Linked DNA regions of Oryctolagus cuniculus. The protein of the gene in region 3 interacts with the protein of the main gene of each other region in a biochemical or structural test. Links are inferred from orthologs where the notes say so. Each region holds a gene or a part of one and is shown on either strand. Other genes may lie near its edges.

Region 1 (4,384 bases), on a different chromosome or scaffold from region 3:
CACTGCAAGGTAAATTTTGACGTGGAGTCAACCTTCTGCCATGTTAGCTACTTAACCGGGACCTGTCAAAGAAATCTTTCATGAAATGGGAAGAGTTCATCCTCACGCATGTCAGAGCGCCTGGCACCCAAAGCACAGTGACACCTTCCAAATCATTCTGTGCAGGTGCAAGCCCACCAAGGCGGCCGCGCGCCAGAGCAGTGCTGTCACTGCGGCACAGCCAGGGTGAACGCTCAGCTCACTTGGTCCCTGGTCCCAGGAAACCCTAACCATCTCCAGCTCCTGCAGAACTTCTGAGAAATTCATAGCACATTATGGTGTAACACTACCTTGTACCCGGTATCTGACCTTTGTCGATCTACAGGTTAACAGTTTAATTTCTACAGAAGAAATGTGCCTAGTTACTGCTGGACCACAGTCAAAACAAGTTTCCATTACAAGCAAGCAAATTTAAAACACAACTAGTTTGGGAGATGACCTTTATTGAGCTTATCCACCTAAGTGGAAATAATGTCTGTACAAAACCAAATGTTTGTTACTATAACTTCTGCATCACAATTAAAATCCAAACAGTTTTTTAAAAACAGTCAACTCAATCAAAACCCACTACTTCAGAATCAATAGCTTCTTTGAAGCCACAGTAACACTTAAATATGGTTAAGACTTGAATGCAGAAATTTGGTTGGTTGGAAAGCTAATTAAACTTCCAACTTGCTCAAATAGAATTACAAAAAGGCAAAATTGTGTTTTTCACAGAGATACAGTCCACTGGAATCACCAACACTGGACAGTTGTTAGAGTATTTAGAGTCCTGAGATAACAAGGAATCCAGGCATCCTTTAGACAGTCTTCTGTTGTCCTTTCTTCCCAATCAGAGACTTGTGGATGTGTGGAATGACACCTAGGAGAGTGACAGATAAATTCTACTTTTAATGTAAGTACTTTCAAAACCACACAGTACTTTGAAACCAAGGCATTTTACGCTTCAACGTGCAAGATCTTTCAAAAAAATGTGAAGCTCAAAATACCAAAAACCCATTGAGTTGTTTACATAAACCAAATTTCATGACCCAGCCATACTGCATCAATGAAAACATTCTCAAATGCCCTCTGCTAGACTAAAATCTAATAGGAGTTAGAAGCCAAGGGTTTCTGTCCTCCGAATAAGGAAGAAAACCAACTTTATTACATACCACCACCAGCAATTGTAGCCTTGATGAGCGAGTCCAATTCTTCATCTCCACGAATAGCAAGTTGCAAATGACGAGGGGTAATGCGCTTTACCTTTAAATCTTTTGATGCATTTCCTGCCAGTTCAAGTACCTACAAGGCAGACGCTCATCAATCGCCTTTGACCAAGGTGCAAGGGCAGAATCAAAGCTTAAGGAACAGGAATCTGCCAGGTGTTCCCCCCTATCCAGGGGACACGCAATTACTGCCAGGAGCAGCCAACTCCTCCGGCTCAGGAGGCTCCCTTCCTGGACACCGGCTCCCTCTAGCGTCCTCCCGGGCTTCTCGCCGCGTCTCGGGCCTGGAGTCTTCTTGCATCACTTTCCTCCTTCCCTCCGGCCGCCTCCCCCGCCCCCCCCCCCAGCCCTGCCTCGATGATAGGCGTCCGCTCAGTTACCTCTGCGGTGAGGTACTCCAGGATGGCAGCGCTGTACACGGCGGCAGTCGCGCCCACACGTCCGTGGCTGGTCGTCCTAGATTTCAGGTGTCGGTGAATGCGGCCCACCGGGAACTTAAGCACACACAAACAAGAAACGCATAAAGACAGGGAGCCAGGGCTGGCGGGATCGCACGCGCGCCAACGCAAGGGGCCCGGACGCTGGTGCAGCCAGGCACCCTAGCATCCACACACGTGATCGCCGCCCCCCCCAACCTTATTTATCGTGTGGGCAGCCCCCAAGTCGCGACACCGCATCCCCAACGCGAAGACGAAACGCCCATCTAGGGCGATGATAAACAAGAAAGGGGGGTGGGAGGGGGTGTGCAAAGAAAAACGCCACGGTTCGCAGACTGCACGAACAACTACTGACCTGCAAGCCGGCTCTCTGCGAGCGGGAAACCGCCTTTGTCTTGGCCTTTCCGGAGTCCTTCCCAGCCTTACCGCCAGCCTGCGGCGCGCACACGCCCGCGAGCGGAGGAGGATCGGAGAATATAGAATTACCAGGGCGGCGCGCCCCTCCCCCACCGCGGCGCGTCCCCGCGCCCCGCCGGGGTCTCCGGCCCGCCACGCGCCGCAGGGGCGACCCCGCCCGCCGGCCCCCGCCGCGCGCCCGCCGCGGCCGCGCGCCTCCGCCCGCCCGCCCGCCGGCCCCCAGAGGCGCCGCGCGCGCCACCCAACCGTCGCCGCCCGCCGCGACAGCCGAGGCTGCTCCGCTCGCAGCCGACACGCCACCTCCCCCCCGCTCGTGTAAATCCCGTCTCCGCACGTCCCCAACCGTCGCCACTTCACCCTCATCCCCGTGGGTAGCGGGTTTCTCTCCCGCCGGCAAAATCCCGCGGAGTTACCGAGCGCCCCTGCGAACTTTACCATTTCGAATTCTGCGGAAGCTCAAACAAGCAAGGCAGAGAAAGGGCTAGTCTGACACACAGCGCGATCCCACCACCTACTCCTCCGTCGCACCGCGATTCAAACTGCGCTGTCTCCCGCCTTCCCCGCTGCCTTTATACTGCAGAATGTTCCCTCATCCGGGAACTCGGATTGCTCATCCCACCAATGGCTGCCGCCCGCCCTCGGGACGCGTCCTTGAGGCCTCAGCCAATGAGAAAACGAAGAACAGGGCGGAGAGGCGGGCGCTTCCAAGCTCGAGCCGCGGTTGGCGCGTGGGGAGGAGGTGGGGGAGGGCGGAGGGATGGGAACGGGGGAGAAGAAGGGCATAGCAGCGGGAGGGAAGAAACAGAACGAGGTGCGCAGCGCGAGCGAAGAAACCAGCAGGCTCAGTCACGTGTCTGGGAGGAGGAGCTGAGAGGCTCAGGGGAGGGGCGTGGGACAGCGCCCCCCGCCGGTCCCTTAGCGGGATTGCAGAGGCCACGTGAAGTCTCCTCGGGGTCTAGCGCGGCCCCCACCCCTAACAGCACCGCCTGGGTTCTCGCCGCCCGGAATCGGCTCCCCTGCAGCCTTCTTCCGGGGCCCCGGGCACCCATTCGCCTGCCGCCCTCCCAGCCCCTGGCGGCTGCGCTCGTCTGACAGGTGGCGCGACCGGGTCGGCCAGGACTCGGCCGTTTCCTCCCTCTGAGCTGGTTCCCAGCCGCCGGCGGATCCCACTTGAATTTCAGCGGAGTCCTCTCCTCCTCTTTCCCCCACCACTTTATGAAGACACCCCCGCACACACGCACGCACACACACGAGGTGGTTCTGTGACAACAGTCGGCGGAGCCGAGTTACCTCGCTGGGCACAAAAGACCTTTTTGTTCACGCGTGGGGAGCTTGGCGTGAGCTGGTATTTCTTTAGTCAAACCGTATTTTTCTGGTGTCTACAGGTCGGTGGGTTGTACCCACAGGCCGGTGTCTAGAGTTGATTTAGTGAAATCTCAGAGCTATTATGTGTCAACTTTTCTACACTAAATATTTCGCTGCGTGACAAATGTTCGGTAAATGTCAGTGGGGTAACTAACGTGATTCACAGGCAGTTACAGATGGTCCATGTAATCAATTGCAAATGGTGGGCTTAAAAAATAGTACTGTACACACAGTGCTATAATAATGCCAGCTACTTAGTCTTCCAACTAATAGATTAATAACACCTGTGCACATCTCCAGCTGTTTGGGAATATAATGTTACATGTTCAACAACTGAACAGTTGCAACTTGAAGTATTTGAAACATACATTCTAACTTTAGGTTTCAAGGTTTCAATTTGAAAGTTTTTTGTTTTTTTTTGGGGGGGGGATCAAAGGACATTCCTGTTTCTGGGATATAAATTCTAGTCTATCTTTTCATTATTCTCCTTGGAACTGAGGAGTCCTTGTGATGTCATCAATAGCAAGAGTTCATCAGATCTCCAACTAAATTGATAAGATGGCGATAAAAAGCTGTGAAACTCAATGTAATAGTTAACCTTGTCGCCAGTGAGGCTTCACTCAGAAACCAATATTAATGCCTTCTCCGATTTAGATAATACTCTCTCTGGGATGAAGCCCAACTGAAGAGAAATCTCTGTTGCCTCTTTGGATCGTGTTTGAGAGAATGAATGGATTCGGGGCAGGCAGACGTGAATTCTTCTGCTCTGCGGCCTCCTCACTGTGTCATCTGGGCGACCAAGCTTTGGGGGCTTCAGGTTCTTCTGTGGAAAGGTTATATGCCACCTATTTTCACAACCTGGTTGCAAGATTAAAGAAGGTATACACTGTAGAGGATAGTAGTGGACACACAGTAAGC
Region 2 (3,550 bases), on a different chromosome or scaffold from region 3:
CAGGAAGGCGGCTGCAGTGTGCCAGTGGCAGTACACACAGCCATGAAGGATGGGCAGGTAAGCAGGGACCCTGAGGACGGGGAGGTAGCATAGTGGCATCCCCGTGCACCCGTCTCTAAGGAGTCCCTCCGACGAGGCTGAGACAACCGTTTTCTTAACCAGCTGTACATGACTGGAGGAGTCTGGAGTCTGGATGGCTCCGACACAATGCAAGAGACCATGCAGGCCAGCATCCAGGTCCCTGCCCAGGTACAAAGCCAGAGGGTGAGAGGGAGGAGTGAGCAGTGCGACTTCCCTGTCCCCACTAAGTCCCACTCCCTTCTGTCCAGCATGAAGATGGCCCGGAGGATGACCCCCAGCTGGTAGGCATTACTGCCCGGAACATTCCACGAGGACCCCAGTTGGCCGCTGAGAACCTGGGCATCAGCCTGGCCAATCTGTTACTGAACAAAGGAGCCAAGAACATTTTGGACGTTGCACGCCAGCTGAATGACGCCCACTAAGCGGCCGTGGGCACAGGTGCCTGCCTGGGCTGCCGCTCCCCGGGGAGGACGTCGGCCGAGTGCCCTGTTCTCACTGGGAAGTGGTCACTCCAGGAGGAACTGCGGGGTCCCTGACCGCCGGGGACTCGCCTCACCTAGGGGCCTTGCCTCCTGCTGCGTGGGGGCCTCATCTCTAGAGAACACAATGCAAGCCACAGCCTTTGAATGTAACCAGCCCCGGGAATAAACCAGCTGAGGGCGGCTCTCCGGTTGTCTCGTGGTGCGGTCGGTGGAGACGCAAACAGGCACAAACCCCTTTGACCCTTCCCCCCGAATTCTGGAACACCGCGTTCCTGCCGCAGTAGTTCTGCCCGACACGGTCCCCGGATACCGCGGAGAGCCCCCCACACACCTTAGAGCCCCCCGGCTCCTGCCTCACCCGGTCCCGGCACAGCCTTTCCCGTTAGCTGAACCCCCGCCCCGCCCCCTCAGGCAAGTACACGGAAGCGCTTCATTTAAAAAACCAAATCCTTTAATAAACAAAATGAGTCCATCCGAAACTCCCAGTCTCTGGTTCTCCGACGAGTTAGCTGCAAAGTCCCAATCAAGCCACCGGAGGCCGTCCGGACGGGGCTGGTCTGAGCGCGCGGGCCGCGCCGCCGCCGCCCGGCAGTCCTCCGGGCAGTCCCCCGCCCCGCCGGGGCGAACGGAGCCGGGCTGTGCGGCCGCCAACGACGAGAGGGGCAGCGCGTCTCCCGCCGAGGCCTGGAAGCCGCAGACGGGTGTCCCAGTCCTGGGCTGCGGCCGCCGAGGGCCTCACCTTCAGGGCTGCCCGCTCGGCCCCGCAGGCCGTCTTCCGCAGGCGCCGCGGCCGCCCCGCAGCCCCGCAGCGTGGGGCGGCTGAGTCACGAGCCCGGCCCGAGGCGCGTGCAGGTGCGCGGCGCGGGGGAGGGGCAGCGGCCGTGGCTCAGCTCTTTCCGTGAGAGCGGTGGTGGCCCTTAAAAGGGCCTTTGTGGTGGCGCGGGGCGGGCGGCCGCGGCGCGGGCCCCTCAGTACTCCTGCGAGGCCTGCGTGGCCTTCTTGCCGCCCGAAGGCGCCTTCGGCCCCACGGTGGCGCTGGTCTTCTTGGGCAGCAGCACGGCCTGGATGTTGGGCAGGACGCCTCCCTGGGCGATCGTCACGCCGCCCAGCAGCTTGTTGAGCTCCTCGTCGTTGCGGATGGCCAGCTGCAGGTGGCGGGGGATGATGCGCGTCTTCTTGTTGTCGCGCGCCGCGTTGCCCGCCAGCTCCAGGATCTCGGCCGTCAGGTACTCGAGCACGGCCGCCAGGTACACCGGGGCGCCGGCGCCCACGCGCTCGGCGTAGTGGCCCTTCCGCAGCAGCCGGTGCACGCGGCCCACCGGGAACTGCAGGCCGGCGCGCGAAGAGCGCGACTTGGCCTTGGCGCGGGCCTTGCCGCCGGTCTTGCCGCGGCCGGACATGGTGCGCGAGGTAGAACGGCACGAAGCGACGCCCGGACGGAAGCCCCCAACAGCCAACCGCCGCAGTCCAACTGCCGGCGCGCGCGCGGCGGGGCCGCCCTTATATGCCCCTAGGGCACACCCCCTGCGCTCTCCTGATTGGCTCTTTTTTCTAGTACCCGCCTCCGGTTGGCTGAGGTTAACCCTTCGGGGACGCGCCTCGGCTGAGGGAGCGCGCCCGCCGATTGGTCGAATTTGAAAACCTTTTGCCCGGGTAAGAAGGTGAGGAAGCGTGCGGGCCGGCTGACAGGCAGCCACTCCGGACGCGGCCAATCCGCGCAAAGCGCGCGAGATTTAAACGTGGCAGGCGGAGACTAGAACCGGAAGACGAAAGGGGTGGAGCCAGACCCCGTGCTGGCCTGGGGTTTTTAAAGGAAAGGACTAGATTCTGCTACCTCAGCTTTCCCATCTAAGTCTGGGGGCGCCCTACTCCCGCCCCCTCCGAATAGGCCGAAGGAGAGTGCAAAAAGGGACGATCCCACGTCGGAAGACAGGCCACTCCCACCTTAAGGCCCCCTGTGCCGCCGGGAGCTTTCCTGTCAGGTCTCAGTTGTGTTCTCGCTGGGAAGGGTCTGAAAGAGCAGCCACAGGCACAGGCCTCCGCTTGGAGGTCCTCTCCCCGCGCCCTTCCCTGTTTTCCTAAAATGCCCCCATAGGAAATATACGTACAGAAACAAGAAAAAAGACCCTTTATTGTCACTGACGGGAGCGTCGGGTGCCCCGTCTGCCTTTACTAATCAGAATACTTCATTTAGAGTCGAGAGTCAAGCCCCCTTCCAGCCCGTGTCCCTTCCCTAGCCCAGGTTCTGCCCCAAGGCCCAGCACATCCCTTGAGCTGCAGGACCCTGAGAGTCGAGTTGTGGGTAACCGTCCAAAATCCGCTGCAGCCCAGAGATGCGAGGGCGGGAGAGCGGCCAGCTGAGGTGGGGAGCCACAGGTGAAGTCTCAGTGGCCTTCGCCAGAGGGCAAGAAAGGCCCCGGATGTCCATGATCACAGGGGAAGGGGAAGCAGCCTTGGTCCAGACAGGGGTCAGGGCAGGACCCCTGGAGACTCTGAGGTGAGGGCCAACACCCAGGGCACTCAGACATCATAGAAGAGCCGGACAAGCTGGTATCGGATGGAGAAGGTGAGAGCGCTGCCCACGACCTGCAAGAGAAATGGACTGGCGTGAGGTCCGTCGAGAAAGAGCCACAAGGAAGTACAAACGCCATCCCCATGCCCGACCTCACCTGCAGCAGCAGCAGGAGCAAGGTGAGGTTCCGCTCATGGATGGGCCCGCAGACCTTAAGCAGCAGGTTGATGAGGGTCAAGTTGTTACACTCGGTGAAGTGGCCGTCCTCGCTCTCGCTCTGGCGCACCGCCACCAGCCGGAGCCTCTCTGCTACCTGCGGGGACCAGAGGGAGAACCGCAGCTCCTATGTGTGGTCCGGGAACAGGAGTCTGCTTAATGCCTCCGAGCTCCCCTGGGATCTGATGCAGGTCTAGGCTCCCGGATCCCCAAGTTCAGGATGGCGGCCTAGGGCCTTACCTCCTTGTTACCTTGTTAC
Region 3 (4,384 bases):
GACAAATATGTATCATAATTCCACTTAGATAAAGAACTGAGAACAGTGAAATTATGTCATAAAGACAGGAAGTAGAATGATGGGTGCTAGGGGAAATGAGGAGTTAATGTTTACTGAAAGTGGGGTTTCAGTTTGGGAAGATTAAAAACTCTGGAGCTGGATGGTACCAATGAACGCACCGAGTGTGAATGTATGTAATGCCACTGACCTATATAATTAAAAATGGTAAATTCTGTTATGTTTATCATAATTCTAGAAAACACATAGTAAGATACCTCCTCACATTTACCAGGATGGCTATTAAAAAACAACACCAACATGGAAAATAACAAGTACTGGTGAGGATGTAAAGAAACTGGACATCCTGCACATAGTCAGTGGGAATGTACAACAGCATAGCCACTGTCAAAAACGCTGGCACTTCTCCAAAAGCTAACTATAGAATTACTGTACGATCCAGCAATGCCACACCTAGCTTACAGGCAGCCTCTGTAGCTGCAAGCTCTGCATCCATGGGATCAATCATTGAAAACATTCAAGAAAAAATAATGTACAGACTTTTTCTTATCAATATTCCCTGAGCAATACAACTATTGGTATAGTGTTTATATTATATTAGGTATTAAATATAATCTAGAGATGATTTAAAGTATGTCGAAGCATGTATATGGATTATATATGCAAATACACTGCCACTTTATACAAGAGACTTAAGCATCCACGAATTTTAGCATCCTCAAGATACTAAAAGTAGAACCCCTTGGATGCAGAGGTATGACTGTAGACACTAAAAAACTGAAAACAAATATTCAAACGAATATTTGTACCAAATGTTCGTATCAGTAGCATTCTAATATCTAAAAGGTAGAAAAATTCCAAATGTCCACCAATGAATGAACAGATAAACAAAATGTAGCATATATCAGAAAAATATTAATCAAAAATGAAGTAACTGATAAATGCTACAGTGTGCATGCACTTCAGACATGCTATGCTAAGTGAAATAAGCCAGACACAGAAGATATTGCATGATTGCACTAATATGAAATATCTAGAATATGCAAATTCAGAGACAGAAACTAGAATAAGGGTAACTTAGATCTTGGGGAAGAACTCATTAATTAATGGTGAAAGGGTTTACTTGTAGTAATGAAAATTTTAAAACCAGATAATACATTGTGAATATAATTAATGCCATTGAACTGTACACTTAAAATGGCAAAATTTGTTGCATATATTTTACAACTTTTAAATAAATTAATAATGCAGCATACCAAAACCCCATCACATTACACACTTTAAATGGGTGAACGGTATGTGAAATATGCCAGGAAAACCGTTTTTTAAGAAAGTGAGTATTGTTTAAAAATAGCAAATTCTGTTATCTGTTTAAACTACAATAAAACAATCAAAGGGTAGGCACACCAGAGCAGAACAGCACATCCAAAGCTTAGACAGGAAACACGACATGGCTCACTGCCCACAGGAGCAGAGACAAGCAGAGTCAGGGGTGCAGCGTGGGGCTCCCAAGCTCACACTCAAAATGACCGAAATGGACGGAACAGGTAACACAGAGCTATTTTAGGTCGTTGCATGCTAAAAAGAATAGTAAAAGAAATGATGGGGACGTACAGACGAGGCAGTCAAGAGACAGACAAAGTGAATGTAATAAGAATACTAACACAGGAATCAGCGGTTCCCTCTGCGCACTTCCACCACTGCTCCCCTCAATATTTAGGCACAAGCTCGGGCACTGTAACAACAGCCACAATCATGCCCATGACTGTGACATTCTGGAGCCCATGAAACGCAAAGCCTCCAAGAGTAACTTGAACACACACTCCTGCGTCTTCAACACGCTGGGCTTCACTCACCGAGATCCCCGGATTCTTGCCCCGAAGCTCTGAGCTTGCATTCCCTCGGGTAGTGTTTCTGAATCATCTCCCACAGTTTCATATTGACAAGAGTCTTTCTTCGGGTATGGTAGCGAGCCCACGAGGAGACCCGGCGGCGACAGAAGGGACAGCATAAATTCGCCTTTTCGACAGTGGACTGGAAGCATGGATTACAGAGCGTGTGGTTGCAAGGGAGGGTCACCGGCTCGATCAGGATGTCCACGCAGATCCCGCACCGGCACTCCGACAGGGAAGGGATGTTGTCTTGGGGCACAGCCATTTTAGTATTGCTAACAAGGCCTAGTCAACATGAACACCTGCCAGAAAAAAAAAAAAAAAAAAAAAAAAAGGATCGTATTTTCGGTCAACCACCGGGCACCAATTTAAGTTTCGCGTTTACATACGAAGCTCAGCAGCGTGCCAAAAATTCAGAGACGGGGAGCATCCAACACGTCTGGGAGCAGGCAGGCGCTCCGAGGCGCGGGTAAAGAGCAATACCCGGGAAGACGAACATGCCCCAAGAGAACACACGAACATTTCCGTCTGACGCGGCAGTTGAACAGCGCGGCCGCGGCGGCGCGCGGCGTCGGGCGTGCGGGCGTGCGGGCGCCCGGCGCGGCGTGGAGTGGGCCCGCGTCCTCTGCTTCCGCTTTACCTCGGCGGGATGCGCCTCTTGGCTCCGGGGCCCCCAGTGCCGGGGCCGCTGCGGGATCCGGGAAGAGCACTGCTTCCGCCGGACGTCGAGCTCCGCGCAGGGCCCCCGTCTTCCCGGGGCCGTGAGGGCCGCCGCGAGCCCCCAGTTCGAGCCTTTGGGTGTCCCGCGCAGATTCCTAGGATTCCGCGCTCCGCCCCTCTCTTCGGGCTACTCGTGGCGGGGTCCCGTAGCAACCGTACACAGACCAGTGACGTCACAACTGCCGCCAAAATGGCACTTCCGATCCGCCGAACCGTCCAGAAACACAACAGCGAACATTCGGCGAGGCGGGACTTCCGAGGCCGCCGCGCGCGCGCGCGCTGGCGCCGCCCAATCCCGGCCTGCCCCGCCTTCCCAGGAGAAGGCCCCACCCATTCCCGCCGTCCCCGTTCCCGCGGTTCTGCTGCGGTAGATCCAGATCTTTCCTTGGCTTTCTGCCCCCAGAGGCTGCAGATATCCTTGAGTGCCTCAAGACTGGCGTGTGGACAGAAACGTGAAGCCTCAGAACGAATTAAAGACTCGAACATTAATTTTTATAATTCTGCCCGCAGTACAAGAGTACCTTTTTGTTTCTATTAATGAGTGATCTAAGGGTTGCTTGCCAAAGTTATTGTCAAGAAACAAAATTTCGGGGCTGGTCCCGTGGCATAGTAAGTTAAGCCTCCGCCCTGTGGCGCCGGCATCCCATATGGACGCAGTTCAAGTCCCGGATGCTCCGCTTCCATCCAGCTCTCTGCTATGGTCTGGGAAAGCAGTGGAGGATGGCCCAAGTCCTTGGGCCCCTGCACCCGCGTGGGAGACCAGGAAGAAGCTTCTGGCTCCTGGCTTCGCATCAGTGCAGCTCCTGCCGTTGCAGGCATTTGGGGAGTGAACCAGCGGACAGAAGACCTTTCTGTCACCCTCTCACTGTAACTACCTCTGAAATAAATAAAACTCTTTAAAAAAAAATAAAGATTTACTTACTTATTTGAAAGGCAGAGTTACCTAGAGAAAGGAGGCACTCCCCAAATGGCCCCAACAGCCAGGACTGGGCCAGGCAGACGCTGAGCCAGGAACCAGGAGCTTTATTCGGGTCTCCCCCATGGGTGCACTTCCGCTGCTTTCCCCAGCACATTAGCAGAGGGCTGGCAGAAGTGGAGCAGCCAGGAATGGAACTGGTCCCCATGTATGAGATGCTGGTTCACAGTGTGGCAGGTAGAGAGCATCACCCACCAGCCCCAGCACTTTTGTTTTAACTGGGTTCAGGAACTTGAGGTTATCACCCAGCTATCTACAGTCTCTTAGCCTGAAATTCCACTTCCTAATGTGTCCACAACCTGCTTTTCCCATGGACATTTCCATTACTCTGAAAGCATGCAACTATGACCTCCCCCATCACACAGGGATTCCCTTCTTTTAAATTCATCCAATCATGTACAGTTCCTAGTAATAATGGTTTTGATCGTAACTTACTTAGTGCCTGCATTTTGCTTTATCTTTAGGAGTTTCTGACTTGTGTGAGGGATATATTTTTACGTGCTTCCTCAGATTTCCTTGGCTTTGCTTGCTTTCTGAACTGTCAATCACTTGCTCTGTGCGGAACTGACCAGGTGCATTCCTAGGGTCTCTGCCTTCCTACCCTCCCCAACCCCTTACCCAGTCCCTTCTGAACAATGCAAGTATGCAAGTGCTGGTTTCCAGGTAGCTGATAGGAGGCCTGGATGACACATGCTGGAAGTATCTGGGGGCAGATTTCTCCCTACCCCAACCCTGCCCCCTGTCCAGAACCACCTTGGCAGATTGAAAAAAAAGTAGA

The links. The genes of interacting proteins can lie anywhere in the genome.
Region 1: of the proteins of RNF168 (region 3) and H2AZ1, one has a biochemical effect on the other in vitro, tested with the Homo sapiens proteins (3 studies listed by BioGRID, with this or other methods). The link is inferred for Oryctolagus cuniculus from reciprocal best matches to the Homo sapiens genes RNF168 and H2AZ1.
Region 2: of the proteins of RNF168 (region 3) and H2AX, one has a biochemical effect on the other in vitro, tested with the Homo sapiens proteins (2 studies listed by BioGRID). The link is inferred for Oryctolagus cuniculus from reciprocal best matches to the Homo sapiens genes RNF168 and H2AX.

The regions. Positions count from the first base shown.
Region 1 is NC_091439.1:65,413,020-65,417,403, reverse strand, and holds H2AZ1 (histone H2A.Z), read right to left. Parts: upstream 2,958-4,384; 5' UTR 2,540-2,957; coding exon 2,537-2,539; intron 2,118-2,536; coding exon 2,040-2,117; intron 1,742-2,039; coding exon 1,628-1,741; intron 1,324-1,627; coding exon 1,194-1,323; intron 902-1,193; coding exon 840-901; 3' UTR 466-839; downstream 1-465. UniProt on the Homo sapiens protein: Variant histone H2A which replaces conventional H2A in a subset of nucleosomes. Nucleosomes wrap and compact DNA into chromatin, limiting DNA accessibility to the cellular machineries which require DNA as a template.
Region 2 is NC_091432.1:111,204,027-111,207,576, reverse strand, and holds H2AX (histone H2AX), read right to left. Parts: upstream 2,052-3,550; 5' UTR 1,964-2,051; coding exon 1,532-1,963; 3' UTR 997-1,531; downstream 1-996. Other genes in the region: HMBS (porphobilinogen deaminase), read left to right, coding at 4-57, 163-249, 330-503; DPAGT1 (UDP-N-acetylglucosamine--dolichyl-phosphate N-acetylglucosaminephosphotransferase), read right to left, coding at 3,084-3,149, 3,233-3,388. UniProt on the Homo sapiens protein: Variant histone H2A which replaces conventional H2A in a subset of nucleosomes. Nucleosomes wrap and compact DNA into chromatin, limiting DNA accessibility to the cellular machineries which require DNA as a template.
Region 3 is NC_091435.1:83,028,072-83,032,455, forward strand, and holds the start of RNF168 (E3 ubiquitin-protein ligase RNF168), read right to left. Parts: upstream 2,736-4,384; 5' UTR 2,551-2,735; intron 2,423-2,550; exon of another isoform or gene 2,300-2,422; intron 2,213-2,299; 5' UTR 2,176-2,212; coding exon 1,875-2,175; intron 1-1,874. UniProt on the Homo sapiens protein: E3 ubiquitin-protein ligase required for accumulation of repair proteins to sites of DNA damage. Acts with UBE2N/UBC13 to amplify the RNF8-dependent histone ubiquitination.